4 linked regions of the Coturnix japonica genome follow. The protein of the gene in region 4 purifies or fractionates together with the protein of the main gene of each other region. This does not show direct contact. Links are inferred from orthologs where the notes say so. Each region holds a gene or a part of one and is shown on either strand. Other genes may lie near its edges. The genes, in order: VAPA, VAPB, PLK1 and PRKAR1A.

Region 1 (5,583 bases), on a different chromosome or scaffold from region 4:
AAGTCTTGATTTTCAACTACATGTTAGAGGCCTCACCTCGAGTACTGTGTTCAGTTTTGGGCACCTCAGCACAGGAAAGACATGGAGGTACTGGAGCAGGTCCAGAGAAGGGCAGTGAGGCTTGTGAAGGGCTTGGAGAATCAACCCTATGAGGAGAGGCTGAGGAAGCTGGGGCTGTTTAGTCTGGTGAAGAGGAGGCTGAGGGGAGACCTTATCGCCCTCTTCCAGTATCTGAAAGGTGCTTACAGTGAGAGTGGGGAAAGTCTCTTCTCACTGGTGACAAGTGACAAGATGAAGGGAAATGGCCTCAAGTTGCACCAGGGCAAGTTTAGGTTGGATGTTAGGAAACACTTCGTTACAGAAAGGGTAGTTAGGTACTGGAATAGGCTCCCCAGGGAGGTGGTTGAATTGACATCCCTGGTTGTGTTTAAGAGCCGTTTGGATGTGGTGCTCAGGGATATGATTTAGTGTAGGGTTGTTAGAGTTAGGGTTCTGGTTAGGCTGCGGTTGGACTTGATGATCTTCAAGGTCTTTTCCAACCAGGCTAATTCTATGATTCTATGTCGCAAAAGCAGGTCTTATGTCTGGGGTAAAAATCTGGAGTATGTTTTTTCTTAAAAGAACCATTTTCTAAGAACAACCTAAATGTGAGTTAACTTGCAATTACATCACTGTCTCTTTTGATTTCAGGAAGACCAGCTGAGTTTCCATCACAAAACTAGAAAGTTTGGACTTGAAAACTTCAAGCGTCGTCATTCCACTACATGACTGTTCAGCAGCTAAAATAGATCTAAAAAAACCAAGGTATTTACTCACAAGGAACCAGTTCCAAATGATGATAATCTTCCTTAAACGAGACCTACAGACAATTCTGTTCCTCTTGACACATTTGCACAACGCTCCAAAATACATTTGCCTCGTGGTTCCCCTTAGGCATCCCTGATGGCCCCACAACCCAAAGAAACGCAGCTATCACAGCAGCAGAGGGAATCGCCCAACACCAACGCGCTATCAGTGGATTCCTAGGAATGCCAGGTACTACAAGAATGGGATTCTAATCTTTCTGACACCAAAGCAAACACAGCGTGTTAACCACGATGAGACAAGTTTATAGGCTCCTTTTGAAAGGTGCGGAATCAAATTCAGCACGTAGTTTCTCTATGAGCCAACAACAGCTTCATCAGACAGTGCTGATGAATTTTAAGTGCTGTCAAGTGTTCCTCACATAAGTTCTACCAACCCTTTAATTTAAGTCCTTGTTTGCAAAAGGGCACTTTAACACATTTCACTGCTACCCTAAAGGTCGGCAAATTCTCTACAAGTCACTGAATGAGGCAAGAAAACCTATGGAGCTATTTGTTCTGTTCTGATGGCCGGACATCAACAGTATTAGGACGATAATACCAATATTGGACAACCATCCCAGTAAACAATTCTGAATAACCAACTACACTGAAAAAAAAAAAAGAGATCATATGATTTTCCTACATCGAAGTTACGCTGAGAAACTCTGAGTCATGCACTCTCTTAGTAACCAATTATGTTTCAAAAGATAATACTTGCTGTTCTCTTCAGCCAATAGTGAACTCTTCCATTCAACACTTCAGAATTGTATGACTACCTGTGGCCCACAGACCTTTCTGAAGACCTCAGAACAATAAGCAGGTGGAAAATATTTACCTGTGTGAGGTGGTGTAGGGAGCCTGCTTTGGCAGGGGGGTTGGACTTGATGATCTCTTGAGGTCCCTTCCAACCCCTACAATTCTGTGATTCTGTGAAAGCACCAGCTGCTCTTTAAATAGGTAGGTGTTGCTGTAGCGTATTACAGTAATAATACAGTATTAGAGAGCACTTGCCATGGTGTCCCACTGCAGTTCCATTACACTTCAGACTTCAGGTTCGCTCAATCTGCTCAACATTTTCCTACCATGTGCATGAGCATGAAACCAAACTTCGTGCCTAATAAACGTGTTTTGTAAACACATGACAGCACCGATCACTGTCTGACAATAGCTTCATCCTGACAATTTCTACGTCTAGTACTCGCTGTATTCACTGTCACCAACACCGTTTCAAACCACACAAAAACACGGTTTGCTTCCAGCTTGAAGACAACACAAGATGCAGGAGCTTCAACCTGCTCCTGCAAGAGTGCAGCGCATTGAAACCCAGGTGCAGATATTCTAACATAATACATAAGCTCCCACTGTGGTTTTGGTTGTACCTTTGGATGTGCAATTTCAAAACTGCAGCTATTAGGAAGTTAAGATGCGTGACACGACAGAATTCTTCCTTTTTTTCTGTTTTAAGTGATTTGATGGCTCTCCAAAACAGGTAAAGCTTGTGAAAAGCCCCTTTGATGAAGCAGACTTCAGTCTTATTGCCAGGACCAGACAAAAGTATCTGGGGGAAATAGTGTTTGTCTTTGATATGAACATCAACCTGCTCTGCTTGTTCAGCTCTCTAAATTGACAGGGCAGGATGCTCGATTGCCCCTTAAACAATGAAAAACGAGCCTAATAAAAACCAAACACCAACACTTACGGGATTATGCAAGTACGAGTGTTGACACCAGCTACAAAAGATGTAAGCTAAGCATATGAGCAACATCTCATTCTAGCACGTTTGCTTTGCCGTTGCGTTTGGCTCTTTTTAACACACACCTTTCCAGAATCACTCTGCAGGAGCCACAGCTGGGATAGCTGTGGGAATGGAGTGATTGGTGAGGAGGGGATAACACCCCATACACCAATAGCGCCGACCGCAGCCCCTTCCGACAGCGGCGCACCCGACAAACGTGACATGCCCGAAAACACCTCAGCCCGGGGACCTCCCTCCCGCCCCTACCTGCAGCGTTCAGCGCCGGCGGAGCTGACAGCAGAGCCGCCCGTGTAGGCACTCATGGCAGGGGGCGGCCGGAGCCGCTGTGCGGGCAGACCGGGCGCGGTGCCCGCCGGGGGCCGGGCCGCGGCGCTGCCGGGGCCGCGGACACGCCGGAGCCGCCGCGGGATCGCAAGATGGCGGCGGCCGAGCCCGCTCCCCGCCTCGGCGGCACCCCCCCACCCCGGCGCCGGCGGCCTCCTCGAGGGACCCGAGCGGGCAGGGCCCGGCCCCGCGGAACGGGGTGAGGCTCCTCGCGACGGCCGAGGGAAGCGGGACACCCCCCGCCCCGGCCGCCCGGCGCCCCGCTGCCCCTCACCTTTGAATTTAAGGTCGGTGGGCGGATCGAGCACCAGAATCTGCTCGTGCTTCGCCAGAGCCCCGGCGGCCGCCATCTCGCTCGTTCGCTACGGCGGGAGGAGGAGAGGGGGAGGGTGGGAGGAGGAGGGGGAGGAGGAGGAGAAGGAGGAGGAGGAAGAGAACGAGGGGCGGGACGGGGAGCCCGGGCGGCGGTAGCGCTTTTCCCTACGCCTTGCGGCGGGTGCAGCCGCTCTTTAGCCCGGCGCTGCTCGCTGCTCACCGCTCGCTCCCCACGTCGCACCGGCGGCCCCCGGCAACGCCGCCACTCCGCGGGCACGAGGGCGGAGGCGGCAGTGACCGGGCCTGCTGTGCGCATGCGCCCTCCCGCTTTGCTCGCTCGCTCCCCCACCGCCGGTCGCCGGCCCTGACGGGAGCCCTGCGACGGAGCCGAGCGGGAAGGAGCGGATCCACGCTCCGGGAACGGGCTGTGGGAGCGCTGCGCATCACACAGTATCACAGTGTTGTGCGGGTTGGAAGGGACCTGAGAGATCATTGAGTCCAACCCCCGGGATTCGAGCCCTGTGTAGCAGAGCGGCACTTCTACCACTTGCGCCACAGGGGGGATTCGAACCCAGGGCCTCCAGTGTTGCAACGCGGCATTGCTACCACTGCGCCACCGGGGCACACGCATGCGCCGCTGGGGGTTGTAGTGTTTCTCGGTGCCTGGTGGGCTCTGTAGTCCAGGTTGGGGTGGTGTGTGGTGATGTGGCGTCGTGCTCTGCCTGGCGTCTCAGTGTGGTGTCATTGAAGCTGCCGGAGAGAGGGTAAGAGTGGGTGAAAAGTGAAAGGCCTGGGTGAGTTCATGCAAGATCGGAGTGTGGGTGATGGAATTTCTTCTCTCGTGGACTCACCAAAGATTACTCCACAGTGTTTCTCTGAAGCAATAATTCAGCCCCGGAATTATGTGGTAGTTATATACCTGAAGAATTTCTGAGTTTTTTTTCTCAAAGAATTTCGTGGTGTAGGGAACCTGCTTTGGCAGGGGGGTTGGACTCCATGATCTCTAGAGGTCCCTTCCAACCCCTACAATTCTGTGATTCTGTGAGATACGAGGAGCTGCTGCAAAACTCTAAATACCTCCAGAGGTTCTCTCCTTTCTCTTTTTAAATAGGCTGTCTTGACTCTGTTGCAGTCAGTAGCAAAACCTCTCACCAATTGCAGTGAGATGTCATTCACAGAATCACAGAATGACCCGGGTTGGAAGGGACCTCAAGGATCATGTAGTTCCAACCCCCCTGCCTGGCAGGGCCACCAAACATACACATTTACTAGATCAGGTTGCCCAGGGCCCCGTCCAACCTGGCCTTGAACACCTCCAAGGACGGGGCATCCACAACCTCCCTGGGCAGCCTGTTCCAGGGCCTAACCACTCTCCTAGTATGTCATTCCGGAGGTGTCTCTAGTATCTGTATCACTGCTTGCAGGCAGCTAACATTTGCTTAACGTGAGTTTAACATTTGTCCTGTGTGCTTGTAGATCTTCATGTTTATTCACATTGTGAATTCAGCATCATTGTTGTTATAGTATCTCAGTTTGGAGACTGCCTGACATTTTTCAGAGCTGTTTGCTATTAAATATTAAATGAGTTTTCTTTATGCCTGAGAAGTATCAATGTAGGCTCAGTTTCATAATACTCTTTTCCACTGTTTATTATTCAGGTAGTTTATTCGGTTCCGCCAACTCTGAACTTGAAAGTGTCTTGCAATAAAACAATATCATGGCTTGCTTTGCAATTCCTTGGTGTTATTAAGATTGTCAGAAAAAGCAACCAAGTGCCACGTTACTTGTCATGTTAATGGAAAAACCTCAGTCTCGCTCACTGAAGTAACATACGTATCCTGTACTGCCAAGTCAATGAATATTGCAAAGTAAAGCTGAAGGTCTGTTTTTATTTCTCTTTAAGGAAATACCTGGCCTCTTGGTGCTGCAATTTGTCTTCTGAAACACAAAACTATTCATAGCATACACACAGATTACAGCAGGCCGTGGTCATAATTTACTTAGCAGCTAATGAGTTCCATATATAATTTGAGGCCTACTCGTTATATTGTAAATCAAGGGTAAAATTACAATCCATACCTCTCTGAAGATTTATGACACTATTCCAATGTTACCACAGGCTAGAAAAGTAGATCTTAACTGAGTATCACATCAAGTTTGTTAGACTACAGTGTATTTCTCTACCTAATGAGGTCATTATAAAAACAGGTGATACATACTGAATATGAAAGCAGAGAAAAGCTAATAACACATAACAGCATTCTGATACGTTGCTGTGGTGAGAATTTTTGTTTAAGTGTCGTAACACAAAAATGCATCGATTGATTATTCGTGTAGGAACAA
Region 2 (5,000 bases), on a different chromosome or scaffold from region 4:
CTATTGAGGATGCAGCTGCACATGTAGGGCTGTGTGCAGACGAGCCTCCCTCTGCTGGAATAGCTCACACTGTAATTTGTGTAAATGGACGTTCATAATGTTAAAGCATCGAGTAATTTCTTCTGAAACGTTAGACCCAATTAGGTCTACCTGAAAGATCTGCTGCCATCTTTACATTCCTCAATGTTTCGCTGGATTTTTCTGATAGCTGGGCTTGTTGAATTTCTTTAACAGCTCTTGGCTTCTGCTCAGTTATTTTCCATCAGACCTAGAGAGCCTGCATGCAGAACGCAGACAAAACTTCAACAGCTGTATTTCATTCTTGTTTGCATCTCGGTGTTTCACCAGGTGCAGGTTTGAGTCTTTGTCATTGGATCTGAGCATTTTATTGCTTCTTCTTTGCTGCCAGGTTGCATTGTGAATGCAGAGCTGGCTTGCTCAGAGAGCAGGCAGAAAGGTGCCACAGTGCTGGTGGTGGTTTGGTTTGGTTTGGTTTGGTTTGGTTGATTTGTGTTTTTAGGTGGAGGCTGCAGGACTGCAGTGCTTTGTTGTTTGTGCTCAGTGGCACCTTAAGAGATGAATTGATATGATAAACTTGTAGAAAAGAAAGCTGCCTCAGGTGATTTTAATCCATCCCTGCTGCAACTGAGAACCTGTCTTGTTTTCTCAAGAGAGCAGGGGGGTGACCATGCGTGTATTTATTATTACTATTAATTATAAAAATGATCATTCACAGTTTTTAAACATTAGGGCTGTCCTGTCTTCAAGGAAAAGAATTGATGGGGTTTTTGTTGTTTCGTTTTCTTTTTCAAGTTTACTTCTATTTCTGAGGATAGGTGAAGGTATTTCATTCAGTTAGCAGGTAACTTCTCTTGTGCAGAAGACAGCTGATCAAAGGGGGTTTACAGTGCTGTAATCTTATTTCTCCGTGATCTGAGTGCAGTCACACAACACCTGCCTCATTTATCCGTGTCTTATAGAAAGTCAGTAATGAGCCTTTCCCCCCACCCAGGGGATTCTGATGATTTCAAGTAGGTATTGAAGCCTATGAGAAGTTACTGCTTGTTGTTTCCAAACTTGACAGTGGTCTGATTCTGGCTTTGCTAATACAGAAATCACTGCCAGTGCTGTCAGCATCCAAGAATTCCCCTCTTTGCGTGTGGTTGTTTCCTGTCTCAGTGAGGCTGGGTTTTTTTTATGAAGATCTCTTCTGATGTATCATTTGTTGTAGCCAGAAGGATTCTTTAAAAACAAGCACATGTGATGCACAGTGGACGCTCATCTTGCTGGTTTTGGCACAGCCTTTCTAAATAGCGGGTGGAAGGCTTCATGGAGGTGCAGTTTATGAGCGTAAGGTAAAGCTTACTGACATTTGTAGGTTTTGATATCCTCCCCTGCTCAGTCTGTACATTGGTGTATATGGCTTCTCTGCAAGCCTGGGTGGTTCAGCAGTTAGAATGGAATAACTGATACAACAGAGAATTTGGCTTCATTTGAATAGCACGTTGTTGTGTTGGTAGTGTGTATAAATGATTCCCCCCTTTTTGTTTGCTATTAATGATGAGCTGTTGTGCTGTGAGCATACAGTCATGCTCAGTGGCCTCCCTACATCCTGCGCTTTGCGTGTGTTGTTATCTGTACGTGCCATAGATGGAAGTTGAACATCTAATTACTTTATAAGATTTGTGAGCAGAGATTTGTAACCTGCTTAGCCTCTACTTGTCGAGTGTTTTCTGATGCAATCTAAAGCCTGCTTTTGCTCTTCCTCAGGTCCATTCACAGATGTTGTCACTACAAACCTGAAACTCGGCAACCCTACAGACAGAAATGTGTGCTTCAAAGTTAAGACCACGGCACCACGTAGATACTGTGTAAGGCCTAACAGTGGAATTATTGATGCAGGAACATCAATTAATGTTTCTGGTAAGTCATACAATCAGTTCTTTAGTGACTGAGGATGGCGTCATCAAATGAATTATTTCTTGGAATGTTTTGCAATACAGAAGTACTGTGTGGAATGCTTGTAAAAGCAGGAGGTTACGATTTCATGGAGGAGCAGCCATTTCATATATATATAAATATATCTTCGCTTCTCTTAGTCCTGCTCTAGCAGTAATGGGTTTGTTTTGACATCTTGTTTTGAGGGAGGGAGGAGGAATATATAAATAATTTATATGGTTCCGTAGCAGCCTTAGCCAGCCTATCCAAGGCAGTGCTGCCGCAGCCCTGCCCTCCCAGTGGGATTATTTTGGTCCGGTTGCTTTTTGCCAGCTTAACTTCCTGAACCAGCTCACTGCAGGATCTAACTAACGAGTGCTTGGACAGGCACAGTCCACATGGGTGGACTGCAGCCACGCTGATTCAGGCTGATAGTTGGTTGCCAGACTACCCAATATAACCAACCAGTTAAGAAAACATTTATTTTGAAACCATGCTTGTTTTGTGTTCCTTGGAGATGTAATATGCTTTGGTGCTAGAAACATCAAGTGACTAAAACTGTGCTATTTCATATGAAAGGTTAATGATTTTCTCTAATGAGTCAGTAGTTCTTCACTTGCCAAAGTTTGGTAATGGAAAAAACAAAGGAGCGGGTTACACTGAAAGCATAAAGGAGTGAGTATTTGTGTAATCTAAAGAACTCTCTCAAAGCATTTCACGGTGGCAGGCTGCAGAAATCAGGTCTGGTTTTTGAGGTACAGGAATGATTTCTGAAGATTTGTTTTTACTACTTTAATTAAATTTTAATGCTGTGTAATAGAAGCAGATGGGTTACTGGCCAATGGGAAGATGATCAGAACAGAAGTTATGTATGGCAAAACACATAACCTGTTAATTAGTCTCCTACCAAGCTACAAGTGTGGATAGTGACAGGACAAAGAGAAATGTTTGCTAGCAAGTAACACGCTTTTTAGAACGTCTTCTTGATCTCAACATCTTTTTTTCTTAAACTTCTGCTTACAGCGACCCTTTGCTCTGCCTTGAGCAGAACATGGGATAGGCAAGTGCTGTGTGAACCTGTATCTGAGGTGCTTTTCCAGCCCCATTCTTCCCAGCAGCATCCCAAACAGAAACCAGACCAAGACGTGACCTGCAGTATCCTGTTGTGAAAGATTGCTGTGCTTACCCTGTTATGCTGCTCTTGCTCACAAAGCTTTGAAAAAACTTGCCTTTTATACGTAACTTTTATTGTAGAATTTGTGGCTTATGATTCAGTTTTGCAAATGATTTTGGAATATTTAATCACAGAGCTTACATTTTTTGTTTTACTTACTTACATGATTCTCTTTACTTAGTCATGGTAATAAACTTTGCTAAATTACCAGCCCTTCTATTAACATTATGTATTAAATGCAAGCAGTTCGCATACATTGTCCTTCAGGTGACACATTAAGGTAGATTTATGGGTAGATATGTTGCAGAATTCTGGAGTTACGGATGTTAATTCTTCATTTTCTAACCCATTCTGAATAGAAGCTGCTGTCAGCTCGTTTTGTGGTTGAATTTCTATTGAAACTCTTGAGCTAATTGGGCAGTGTTTACTCCTTGTAGTCTGTTCTCTTGAGAACTGCTGACTGACTTTAACACAGTAGCACTGACAGAGCACCTCCAGCCTGCAAAGAATGGTCGGTGCCAAAGTACAATGATGTGAATTTGTTTCTTGGAGTATTACTGACAGTTGGGTTCAGGGCAGCCTTGTCTTCCTTGCACCATAGCAGCTGAGTGCCTTTCTTACATGCAGTTCCACAGGCGTGTCCTATTTTGGTTGAAGTTCACGAGAAGGTGTTCTGTCCTTAGAGGCTGCTCTCAGAACATTATTTCATGCCAGGTCTTGGCTCGTTTCGCACACATAAAATGCTAGAAAAGCAAAGCTTTCTTTATTCTACTGCAGTGTTGGATACTGGCTTCTTTTGCCCTATCACAGCTGCTCCTAAATACCAGCATTTAAGTCTCAGTTAGCATGCACTGCTTGCTGCAAAGTCAGGTTTGTAGCCCATGTTTTCACCTGTTATATAATGGTGTGTAATTTTAACAGCTGAGTTTATGTAACTGTCAGGAAGTGTATGTGTGCTGTCACCCTGTTTGATTGCGTTTGGTTGTAAGTACTTGGCAAAGAAGGCTGTTTGCACCCATTCTGTTTTTGTTACACGTGTCTTATTTGAACAAAGACAGCTGATTTTGTGGCTTCCGAGAGGTTGAAATCTAAATAAAAGATACAAATGAATTCCAGATGAAGAGTGAGAAACTAGAAGCAGGTGCTGATGTCTGCAGCTAGGTGTACAACGGAGAGATGAAGGGTGCATGGTGTGCCCTGCTGCACAGAGCAGCCCAAGCAGACTCCTGGGCATGGGGAGAGCTGACGTTATCCTTGTGTTGTCAGGTACCCTGATCTTTTGTGCAGTTACCTCACTAGGAAGAGGTGGGTTGTGTTTCCTTCAGGTCAGGGCTGCCCACAGCAGTTCTGCCCCTTCTCAGCCACCAGCCATATGCTGCTCCCCTGGGCCTCATTGGCCAACATGGCAAGTGCTGAGCATGGACTGCGGTGGATGTATGGCTTCCAAATGATAATAGAAATTGCTAGTGATGTTTGGTATTAGTCTTGTTAAATGCTTTTGTAAGCAGTTCTGGCTCAAAGACAGCACACTAAAAACCCTTACGATGATGTAAAATTCAAAGGCTGAAGACATGCAGCAAGAACTGAGTGTCCTTGGAGGCTTCAGTAAGAGAAACAGGATGAGTTTTGTCATAAAAACTGCAGAATCATGTACTTGGATTTCTTCTTCTATAATTGCAAGCTTTCTGAACAAAGTGGGTGATGTTAGGATATTGTAACTGATCAGTGATGACCAAGTTGCTGACATCATGTGGCTGTGAATAGGGCAAATGCAGTGTGTGCAAACAAACTAGGCAGTGGAAAAGATAAGAGTGTGAATGTTGTCATTAATAAAATTTCATGGTTGTATACATAGAGTAACTCATACAGAGGAATTCAAGCCAGAACA
Region 3 (5,758 bases), on a different chromosome or scaffold from region 4:
CCTGATAGCAAAGCTCAACGAGACCTGCAGAAATCTCATCAGGAACAGCCACCCACCACCAAGGGCTCCTGTCCTCTGGACTGACCTTCTTATTCAAGGCAGAGGGGCAGGATCTCACAGTGAAGTAGGACTCGGTGTTGTTTTGCTCAATGTACTGCAAGCTGTCCCCATCATTGTACATAATGAGACGAGTGGAGTCATTGAAGAGAACTCCAACACTGTTGTCACATAATTGATAACCTGGTTGAAAAAAAAGCCTGTCAGACCTTCACACACATGGGACCCTTGGTTACATGAAATACAGAGCTGGATCATCTAGGGGATCCCTGGAGGCCACCTCATCAATTTTAAAGATCCTCCTTTTAACAGAGGTCGAGATGGCACTTTTTTCTCCTCTGGGTTTGTCACCCTCCTTTGCTGCATTATCTGCTGCATAAGCAACTTCAACTCCTACACTGAGTACACACATTAGCCACTTTGGATCCACAGGGTCCTGCTGCCTGCATCCTTAATGTGGCCAGGGTAGATATTCAGTGGCCATTACTCTGTGTTCACTTAGTGTTTGATGGTGCTCCCGGTGATACTCTTGAATGCAAACACTGATCATGATTTAAGAACTAAATCTACACTGAGCACAGATCAGGACTTCTACCAGCTGCTTTAGGAGCTAGAAAAGGCTGAAGTACTGCCATCATGTTATTTACCTAGACCATACTTATCCGAGTAGTCCACCCATTTGCTAACCCAAAAGATGGGAATACAGGCTGGGTCTTCAGCTTCTTCTGCAAGGAGAAAAGGAGTTTGTTAGAAGACATTTTAAGGCATGCTGTGCAGCACAGCAAGCAAGGCCAAGAGGAAGGTAAGTAGCTTCCACATTGCTTTTCTGCCTTTCAGGTTGAAGCTGAGGTCAGTTGGTCCCTCAGTTCAGCCAAGAGGCATCAATGACAGAAGCAAGTTGTCCAAAAATGTCAGTGCCTGTGGGATTGTCCCCAGACTCACCTTGTCTCACTGCAGTTCTCTCAGAGGGTTTGGCTGAGTTGACTGCAGTCAGCTGCTGTAACATGTCTGCTAAGTGACACTCAATGCTGTCTCCCACCTCCCGCAGCCCAGCTGCATCTTCCTTTTCAGGCAGGTTTTCTAATGCAGGGCTTTCTGGTCCTGGGCCAGAAAAAAAAGAGAAGATTGCAGAAACATGAGCAGCAAGTTTCTAAAAGCACCAATTTACATGCTACCCTAGTTATAAGAAACACATTATGCACCTCATAGCTGAACTGCTCCCTGCTTTGGTTCTGGACAAAGAACAAGGAGAACTCCCAGACACGATATGTTCTAGTTATCATGAGAACTGGGAGAGTAGGTGAGGCAGCACTATATTCCCCACAGATGGGTCTGTGTGTTGCTAGAGGCCAGGCAGGCACTCATCCAGTGCTGCAGTCCTCAGCCCTCACTTCCAGACGCCTCCTCTTACCTTTGTTGAGTGCCGTCAGTGGCTTTCGCCCATTCAGTTCAAGTGTGCTGGGAGCGATTGAAAACCGAGGTGCAACAGTGAGACAGCTGGTGGGCAGGCGGCTGGGGATGTACCCTGATGTGAAGAACTCATCGTTCAGCAACTCATTGATAGTTGGGCGCGTGGCAGGGTCAGATCTCAGCATCTTCTGAATGAGGTTAGCAGCTACAGGGTTGATGTGCTAGGAGGAGACAGGCAGAGTTGTGAGTCAAGCAGAAGGACAAGCACACATTAGTGGCATCTGCTCTGTATAATACAACAGGTTCTGCTCAGAGCACAGCTCTGGGTCAGGCAAGCAGGACATAAGCCTGGGAGACAGAACCATACAGGTTCACTCTGCCACTGATTGATACAGCCCCTTCCCATCTCACTGTGATAATAGCTGCTTCACTATTATGTGAGAGCCCACTGAGTGCCAGAAATGGGATGGTACAAGAACGGCTGCAAGATGAATAGACCCACCCATGAGAAGTACTTTACCTTGGGAATAGTATACTCATTCTTCTTGATTCGGAGGTATGTTTCTTTGAGACAAGAGGTTTCAAAAGGTGGTTTCCCCACCAGCAGAGTATACCTGTGTGTTTGTAGACATGGAAGTGTGTTAGATTTATTCCCCTCCCTCCCCCAGAGCACCAGGGAGGTCAGGTGCCAGCAGCCATGGCAGTGTGCTGGATACAGCACATCCATAGCTGCAGGATACACCAGAACCTCACAGGGGCCAACAGGATGTGGGGCACAGGGACCTCACAGCCCTGCAGGAGACACTTTGACTCACATGATGCAGCCAATGGACCACACATCCACTTCAAAGCTGTGCCCCTTCTTGCCCAGCACCTCTGGGGCGATGTAGTTGGGGGTCCCACACAGGGTCTTCTTGCGCTCACCATCATACTCCACTTTGGTGGCCAAGCCAAAGTCACCTTGGGGAGACACAGAGATGGGAGCAATGAGAGAACCCAGGTGGGGTGGGACAGCCATGGGGGTCCTGCAGGCACCGCACCCCGACACCTACCGATCTTCACCTCCATGTCATCGCTAAGGAAGAGGTTTCCCAGCTTGAGGTCTCGGTGGATGACGCGCTGGCTGTGCAGGTACTGGCAGCCCAGGATGGTTTGCCGCAGGTAATAACGCACCTCGGGCTCGCTCAGCGCCTTCCGCCGCTTGTGCAGCTCCAGCAGTGACTGCGGGGATAAGAACACACGGGGATAAGAGCACATAGGGATAAGAACACACGGGGATAAGAGCACATAGGGATAAGAACACTCGGGGATAAGAGCACATAGGGATGGGGGTGTTGGTCACGGTGATGGGGTGTTGGTCGGGGTGTTGGTCACCCAGCTCCCATCCCGCTCAGCCCCCACCCGCACCCCCCGCCCTCACCCTGCGGCGGCACAGCTCCAGCACCACGTAGACGAAATCGCTGTCCTCGAAGAACCCCTGGAAGCCCACGACGTGCTGGTGCGCCAGGCTGCGGTGGATGGCGATCTCCATCGACATTTTCTCCTTCTGGTGCGGTTTGGCCAGCAGCGATTTGGGCACCACTTTCCCAGCGAACACCTCCCTGCTCTCGTTCTCGGTCAGTTCGTAGCACCGAGCGAAGCCGCCCTTGCCCAGGAACCGGCCCCGCACGTAACTGCGCCTGGTCCGCGGGTCCAGCAGAACCTTCGGAACCTCTTTACCCGCAGCCGCCGTCGCTCCACCCGATCGGGCCGGTTCCACCGCAGCCACCGGTCGGGCTTTGCCGCCCGCCGCGTTCATGGTGCCGCTGTCCGAGCTGAGAACTGCAGTCAAAGCCGAATGAGGCGGAACCGAACCGGATCCGAACCCCGAAGCGGAGCCGTGCGGGACGCGCTGTGTCGCTGTGTCTCTATGTGCGGCGCTCAGACCGATTCAAACGCGGCCCCCGAGCGTTACGCGCCCGCGGCGGCTCCTCATTGGTCCGGAGGATTTAAAATCCACGCCGCCCGCCGCGGAGCAACATGGGAGCGGAGCGACACAGCCCGGCTTAAAGAGACAGGAACCGGCGGGGACGGAGCACAGCGCCACCCAGCGGGCGGGAGGAGCGAGCGGCGCGGCGGGTATGGGCAAACGCAGTGGGGTATATGGCAACCAGTGGGTTATTGGCACTGCAGTGGGTTATTGGCATTGCAGTGGGTTATTGGGCACCCAGTGGTTATGGGCATTGCAGTGGGTTGATTGGCACCCAGTGGGTTATTGGCAATTGCATGGGTTATTGGCACCAGTGGGTTATTGCACTGCAGTGGGTTTATTGCATTGCAGTGGGTTATTGGCACCCAGCTGGGTTATGGCCATTTGCAGTGGGTTATATGGCACCGAGTGGGTTATTGGCACCGCATGGTTATTGGGCACTGCAGTTGGGTTATTGACATTCGCAGTGGGTTTATTGGCATTGCAGTGGTTTATTGGCATTGCAGTGGGTTAATTGTGGCATTGCAGTGGTTATTGGCATTGCAGTGGGTTGTTGGCATTGCAGTGGGTTATTGGCACCGCAGTGGGTTATTGGCATTGCAGTGGGTTATTGGCACCGCAGTGGGTTATTGGCACTGCAGTGGGTTATTGGCATTGCAGTGGGTTATTGGCACCCAGTGGGTTATTGGCATTGCAGTGGGTTATTGGCATTGCAGTGGGTTATCGGCACCGCAGTGGGTTATTGGCACGGCTGGGGCAGGAACTGGCAGCGGGGTGATTCCTACACGGGAGAACTAATGGACACTGCCAGCCCTCCGGGGCGACAGGAGAGCGAGCTGAAGGGGAGCTATAAGAAAGGTGGGTCTGTGCGTCAGGACAAGGGGAAACGGTTTTAAAAGGGATGTAAACTTCAATTGGATGTAAAGAAGCTGTTTGCAGAGAGGGGGGTGAGGAATGGCACAGGGTGCACGGAAAGGTGGTGGTGCCTGCAGACACCCATGGTCAGGCTGGATGGGGCTCTGAGCACTGATGAAGCTGTGGGTGTCCCCGCTCAGTGCGGGGCTGAAGCTGCTGCAGGGATCACGCAATGGGATTTATCCATCTCCTCCCTCTCCCTGTGGGCTGTGAGCAGCTTTTCACACTGCCACACTTCACTATGTGCAGGGAATTCATGCTCGATGTGTTTTTCCACACAGCCTGTTGTGATGCTTCCACGTGACAACGTTTGGCTTATAAAATACATTTCCACACTGACCCAAGAATGTGACACTTCTTTATTGTGCAGAATCCACCCATTTTTGTTGGCATATTCTTCAGTTTCTTCCCCCCTCTGCCACCAAGGTGCCATATCACCAGGTGGATGTGATTGTACCCAGCCTCCTTGATGATTCTTTTCCCTCACCAGCCATAACGTGGAACACGAGCTGGTAAAGAGAACGTCAGCAACAAACCGCATGCACTAAGGCTGGAGAGTTCACTGCAGCCTAACATCATTTGGTGAGAAAAGTAACTTTACATTCTCATCCCCTAATGTGATCATTCTGGAGCAGAATAGAACACCAAAGGAAAACAGCCATGAACAGAGCAAAAACCATCTGGGGCAGCTCTGGCCGTGAGCTTCTCATGCCTTCTCCCTTCAGGCATGCACGGCTCCACCCTGCTGAAAGTCAAATGAGGACAGTTCTGTTGTAGCTTCCCTTTCCCAATAAGGAAAGCTGTTTCTTTTAGGACAGAGTTGATGGCCCTGGCTGGCCAACATATTCTGTGCTTTGCTATTTGCTGGAACCTTGGGTACTGCAGTTGTGTCAATGGCTACAGGCCAGCTGGGTGCATCGTGGCAGAGAGCTGGCACAGGTGTGGAGGTGAGCCCAGGTCAGTGATGCTTCAGAGGACAGGATAAAGTAACCAGGTGTAAGGAATGTTAACAGTGCTGAGCATTTGAGATCTTCAGTGGTGACTTTTTAAACCCTGGCAGAGGCCACCTTAACAGAGACAATAAAACAGGTTTCAATTAAAGCAGAAGGGTTGGGTCAGCCTGCTGGAAAGAAGAATAGATTGAGAAATATGTGATGCTCTGTGTTGTTATGCATCCCTCAGCACACTGCAGCTGCACTGCACAAGTAGTTGTGGGAATGCGTGTCTGAAACTTCTCCAGTTGCAGTCTCGTCCTCTCCCAAGCTTGCATCCCTTGATTTGGCAGCCACCTCCTCCTACCCCCCCATATCATCAGCCCATTTTCCTGCTGCCCTCCACGGTCGTTGACCAAGCAATCCCAGTGAAGTGCACTATGTGGTGTTGAAACCTTGAAGGGACACCATGGCA
Region 4 (5,536 bases):
GGAGCTAAGTACCAGGTTAGAGCTGGTTAATAGCAGCAGCGCAGCTCTGTTACTTGATAGCTCTGAAGGTTCAACACACTGCTCAAACTAAGACCAACCCATATGGCTGAACTATGAAATTACCTTGAAGAAAGACATGGCAATGTTTATATTCAATAATATAAGAAGGCTACAGTTCCACCAGCAGCTACAGCCACACGAGTTGGCACATATAGCCATGCTTCTGTTTTATGTCCCTTCGTGGCTTTGCTTACTCTTCGCTTATTCCAAGTTCTACCTCCTAACTTCAAAAGAACAGTTTTCTTTGATAGTTTTTAAAGCAACATTAGCACAAGCATTGATACACCAAACCTTACAATGTATCACTACTAGAAACCCAAGAATACAAGGTGGGAAAGCTGATACAGTAAAAGGTGGGGATGAAGGATTATTAGGAGCCTGAAAAAAGACAAAGATATAGTTTCCACGTAAGATGGGAAGCTAAAGCAGCACCTGCAAATGACTGCTGTACAAGGTCACAGCTACAGTAATTACTAACGACCTGTGCTGAGTGCAGTGGTTACAGCTAATCTTTCTTCTGCATTCACCCTTAAAAACTCATGTTTTCATAGCAGATTATTCTCTATCAGCTTAAGCTATAGTTATATTCAATTAACTGTTCAAATCAGCGTTAAATTGATTCAAATATGAGCACTGAAATGAAAACGCTTTTCATTCCAAAGATCACAAGGTTTTCAACAAGAACACTGAAGAGACCTTCAGGACAAATGAGAGGAACAAAAAGCAAAACAGTAACACTCAGTTCCCAACAGAATGAAGAAACAGGCTTGTTCTCTTAGAAATCAGGAAAATAAGTGCTTTCATTTGATTTCAGCTAGGCCGGGCTAACTACCACACTGGCCTGCTGCTGTTCTATACCTGAATCTTTGCAATCAATTTGCCTCAACAGAAGAAACCAAATGTGTATCACCAGCAGCTACCAGGGTCACACAGCACATTTACCAACTGACCACAGACAGGATCACGTGTCCTATCTATCAGTTTCTATGAGCAAACACTAGACTAGGATCACACGTGAATCCCAGGTGGGTAAGTGTCCTTGTCAGTTTACTTCTGTCACAACAAAGCAAGAGGTGCTTTCATACCACAAGCCACTAGCAAAAACTACAGAAAATACCATTCATCCTCCAAAAGCATCAGGCCCAGTTCCAAACAGCCAATACAAACATGGGCCAAACTGGAAGCTCAGCCATTAAATCAAGTTAAACAGTGCAAATTTTGGCTGTTCCACTCTCCTTCTCTCCCAGAAAGGAATTTTTACCTTCTCCAATCTTTCAAAGTATTCTCTGAGGAATCCCATGGGTCGCTCAGGTCTCACGGTGCACAGCTGCACAATGCAATCCTTCAGAAGCTGTTGGATGTTGTGTTTTTGGACATAAAGTTCACATTCCCGAAGACTACGTTCCTCCTCACTGCTGCTGCTGCTGGAAGTTGCCATTGCTGAAAATGAGAAAGAGAAAGTTAAAGAACTAGCAGAAAAGATGGTGCAGCCCAATATAGTCAGACACGTTATATCGCCTAAAGGAAAATCATGCTGCATTATCATCTGACTGACATCACTGGATAAAGTCATCTTCATATCTAAGATCAGTAACAAAGCTAAAGTGTGAAAGAAGAAACTATGAGGAGGGGAGGAACAGAGCAAACAAAAAAAAAAGAAAAAATAAAACAAATGATGCACACTGCAATTGCTCACAGCCTGCTGTACGATGCCCAGTCTGTCCCCAAGCAGCAGCTGTCCCCCCCCAGCCGAGTCCCCCAGTTTTATTGCTGAGTACGACAACACATGGTACAGAACCATTTCAACCAGGTGGGGCAGCTGTTCTGGTTCTGTCCCATCCCAGCCCCTTAGTGGCTTGGCAGTGCAAGAAGCTGAAACAGCCTTTGCTTAGTGTAAGCACTGCTCAGTAATGGCTGTAACACTGGTGTGCTATCAGTACTGCTCTCCTCCCAGACCCAAAACATTGCACCTTATCAGCTACTGTGAAGATTAACATTACCCCAGTTAAAACCAGGGGTCAGGTGGTGATGAACAGGAGACTGGTGGGTGGAAACCAGGAATCTGAGACACAAACACTACAGGTATCCAGAAGTGAGATGTGCTAAGGTCAAATCAAAGCCAGCTCAACAAATGCCCATCAATGACAACTGGGGAATTAGAAGCATTCCTCTTATAGAAGCTCCTTAGTTTAAATCATTCCACACTTCATAACTACCTCCGTGAATACACCTCCATCCCCAAAAATATTTCTTCAGCTGTGGATTATCAGGAGGGGACCCTTAAACAGACCCATCACACTGTCAGGCTTTAAAGAGATTTTGAAATCACAGAGCAAGCCACAAGACTTTGAAAAAAATACCATTAAGTCTATTCTTTTTTATACTTCACGTTATAAAATTATGCTAATTTATTTATTCATTTATGTATATGTTTATAAAATCAATGTTGAGTTGTTTGGTTTTTTTTCCCCATAAGACAGTTAAAGAAAGAGGAAATGATTTCTCAAGGTATTTTTGATGACATATAAAGAAAGTTACCTGGCACAGAGACAGCGGCAACAGCTTAGGACTGTTCAGTGAGAAGTGTTGATCTCAGGATCAGCTTTAGAAAGAGAAGAGAGAAAGAAAAGGATTCAGATGAAGCAATATTGAAATGTCATGTCACTGAGCTGCCACATCGTGCTTTACAGGCAGCAGATAACAGGTGATATAACACTGTACCCAATGGAATCGTCCTGCCAGGCATTACAGGAGGCACAGAGCTAACACAGAGCTGCAAATGTTACAGCCAACCCCGGGCAGACACATTACACACCGCATAGACATTAAGTACAGACTCGAAACGACTAAAGGAGCATTTCCCTTCTCCTAATGCTCCTTTTGCTTTGATAACAGCGTGGTGAAGGTCAGCGCTAATAATGAACCCCAGGGAAACAGGGACCGCAATGGGAGTGGGGAGGGGACGGCCTTTAGGTGCTCATAGAGCCCGATAGCCACCCCATCCCCAGGCCCCACCCCGCAGCTTTCGTTTCTATTGCCTGAACCCGCAAGGCCACAACGCAGCCTCTCAACTCGAGGCCTACAACCTTAAGGCCTACAGCATTAAGGCCTACAGCCCTGGGGCCTACAGCCTTAAGGCCTACAACCTTAGGGCCTACAAGCCTTGGGGCCCAGTCAGGCTCCGGTACCGGCCCCGGCGCTGCTCCCCCGCAGCCAGGCCCACCCTAAAGGCCTCGAGCTTCCCGTTCAGCCCCACCACACAGCGGCCATTCCCGGTTGTTGTTCCTCACAGGCCGCACCCAGCGCTCACCTGGAGCGGCCGCCTTCCTCGGGCCCTCAGCGCCCACTGCCCCGCCTCGGCCTCAGCGACAGCAACGGCGGCGGCTCCCACCGGAAATGGACGGGTTGGACCAATCAGAGAGCGGCGTGACGTCAATGAGCCTCGCTCTCACCCGGAGCCGTCGTCGAGGTAACCTTAAAGGGACCGCAGCGCTCTTTAGTAAGCTCGGTGATGCGGTGTTGGTTGAGTGATGCTGCGCCTTTAAGACGCGCTGCTAATGGGGGGGAGGTCTGTGTCACTATGGGGCGGCCTGGGGTTGGGTTTGGGTACCCCATGCAAGCTGTTAAACACTGAATGTATCCCAATGTGAATGGTGAGGGCCCGATAATGCTTATGGAGCGCTGTTGGGACAAGCCTTGGTGCCTTGTCCCAGCTGGAACAAAGCTCTGTGTGTGTGTGTGTATGTAAAACCTGTTCTACAGCATCAGGAAAACAAGTTTGTTGTATGGCTTCATCTTGATGCAACCCTCTGCTGAGCAGGAGTTCATATGGCAATGCAGCGGTGTAATAAAGGGAGCAAAACAGGCTTTAAAAGGAGCCTTGTAGTGCTAACATGAGGTTTCTCTCATTAATTTTGTGTAAATCCTTCGCTGTGAGAGCATAGAACTACCCTGCAAAGTGAAATCATGCTCCTCATAAGCATAGATTTGTATGTATTCATGTGTTAAAAAGAAAGGAATGACAAACAAAAGGCTTTGCCGTTGAGTCTGGTCTGGATTGCAGTGAAACCCTGGTGTTAAGTGTCTAATTAAATAATGAGTATTCTGGAGTAAATAACTTGCATTACCATCAGCGCTTGTTCCCACAGCTTTCAGTTCACACTTTCATGCATTAAGAGTTTCTCATGAGACAATTGTGTGAGGCTGTGGCTGCTGAAGAGCAGAGAAGAGCTGCCCAGACTGCTAAGGGAGTGATGGAGCCAGCAAACCATGGGGGAAACTTAGGCTACATTCATCCTTGGTTGGCATTCACAGGAGTCAGTAGTTATGTCAAACCTACATGTGGCTTCAAACAGTAGTTACTATCACTTTCCATGCTCTCTTAAGGCAAGAGTTGGAGGACAGACATTGTGGATGTGAGGGAATCCATGGCCTGAAACATACAAAGATATTGAAGGCCTTGTGAATTTAGAGGAGCTGGTTACCCAGTACCTTGGAGAACCTGGAGCTGTGTGACCGCTCCTTTGCTCTTTGGTTCATGCAGTCACCCACTTCTGCTTCGTCTTCATAACAAGGGTGTCAGCTGCACAATTATCATGATTAAAACCAGCAGCCTTCTGCAAGGTCACTGCAGTTCCTTCACTGACGGAGTGAGAGCGGCACATCATCATTCCTAACCATGTTGTTTACCTCCATTCTGCATTAATTAGGATACATATTCTTGGTCTCATAAAAGACCAATAAATTTGTCGGTCTGACAGTGGGGCAGTGAGGCTGAGGAAGAGAAGATAAGCCACAGTGGCACCCCATCTCCCAGATCTATGTGTTAAATCACATAAGTGTTGTAAATGTGTCATCCTTAATATACAAGCTGGATCCAAAGAAGCACAGCCCAAAGTGCAGCACTTGGTCCCAATGTGCTGTGTTTGCCATGCAGTCTGAGCTTCTGGATGAGTAAGTAAATCTGGTATCAACATCTGTAACTTTGCCACACGAAAGAGAAATAATTCAGGTCATAAAAGAACAGAACAAGGAATTACTGTGATCAAAATCCATGCCATAGGACAGCTACCACCTGAGCTTCCTGCTCTAGCCCTGTCATATCCTGTGCTGTGGGATAAAAACCTCCAGGACCCTGGAAGATGGTGCATGGAACCCTTCTTTGGTCCTGCCACACATCAACCGGGCAGACAGCTGTGTGAAATGGTCCCCATTGCAAAACAAGTTTGCTCTGAGCAGCAGTTCTCAAATCATTTCCATATGTTACTTTGAAGAAGAAAATGACTGGTAAGTCTCAAAACACAGTAAGCAAGAGCCAAGGGGAAAAAAAAATGCCCTGAAGTGCCCAGATCTTAAAGATAGGCCAGTCAGGGAATCTGTTTCCATCTGCAAGACGTGCCTGCTACAGCACAGCCCATGGCACACTCAGCATGGTTCCAGCTGGAAGGCTTCCAGCACCCAAGAGGCAATGCTGGGA

The links.
Region 1: the proteins of PRKAR1A (region 4) and VAPA purify together in Homo sapiens (affinity purification with mass spectrometry; 3 studies listed by BioGRID and IntAct, with this or other methods). This does not show direct contact. The link is inferred for Coturnix japonica from reciprocal best matches to the Homo sapiens genes PRKAR1A and VAPA.
Region 2: the proteins of PRKAR1A (region 4) and VAPB purify together in Homo sapiens (affinity purification with mass spectrometry; 3 studies listed by BioGRID and IntAct, counting the BioPlex papers as one, with this or other methods). This does not show direct contact. The link is inferred for Coturnix japonica from reciprocal best matches to the Homo sapiens genes PRKAR1A and VAPB.
Region 3: the proteins of PRKAR1A (region 4) and PLK1 purify together in Homo sapiens (affinity purification with mass spectrometry; 4 studies listed by BioGRID and IntAct, with this or other methods). This does not show direct contact. The link is inferred for Coturnix japonica from reciprocal best matches to the Homo sapiens genes PRKAR1A and PLK1.

Annotation. Positions count from the first base shown.
Region 1 is NC_029517.1:88,648,151-88,653,733, forward strand, and holds the start of VAPA (vesicle-associated membrane protein-associated protein A), read right to left. Parts: upstream 3,408-5,583; 5' UTR 3,276-3,407; coding exon 3,200-3,275; intron 1-3,199. UniProt on the Homo sapiens protein: Endoplasmic reticulum (ER)-anchored protein that mediates the formation of contact sites between the ER and endosomes via interaction with FFAT motif-containing proteins such as STARD3 or WDR44.
Region 2 is NC_029535.1:10,108,661-10,113,660, reverse strand, and holds part of VAPB (vesicle-associated membrane protein-associated protein B/C), read left to right. Parts: intron 1-1,770; coding exon 1,771-1,923; intron 1,924-5,000. UniProt on the Homo sapiens protein: Endoplasmic reticulum (ER)-anchored protein that mediates the formation of contact sites between the ER and endosomes via interaction with FFAT motif-containing proteins such as STARD3 or WDR44.
Region 3 is NC_029529.1:6,808,728-6,814,485, reverse strand, and holds the start of PLK1 (serine/threonine-protein kinase PLK1), read right to left. Parts: upstream 3,448-5,758; 5' UTR 3,266-3,447; coding exon 2,888-3,265; intron 2,689-2,887; coding exon 2,520-2,688; intron 2,428-2,519; coding exon 2,283-2,427; intron 2,082-2,282; coding exon 1,988-2,081; intron 1,689-1,987; coding exon 1,469-1,688; intron 1,159-1,468; coding exon 1,000-1,158; intron 783-999; coding exon 705-782; intron 241-704; coding exon 86-240; intron 1-85. Other genes in the region: DCTN5 (dynactin subunit 5), read right to left, coding at 5,398-5,418. UniProt on the Homo sapiens protein: Serine/threonine-protein kinase that performs several important functions throughout M phase of the cell cycle, including the regulation of centrosome maturation and spindle assembly, the removal of cohesins from chromosome arms, the inactivation of anaphase-promoting complex/cyclosome (APC/C) inhibitors, and the regulation of mitotic exit and cytokinesis.
Region 4 is NC_029533.1:6,401,599-6,407,134, forward strand, and holds the start of PRKAR1A (cAMP-dependent protein kinase type I-alpha regulatory subunit), read right to left. Parts: upstream 3,492-5,536; 5' UTR 3,371-3,491; intron 2,663-3,370; 5' UTR 2,599-2,662; intron 1,501-2,598; 5' UTR 1,499-1,500; coding exon 1,322-1,498; intron 1-1,321. UniProt on the Homo sapiens protein: Regulatory subunit of the cAMP-dependent protein kinases involved in cAMP signaling in cells.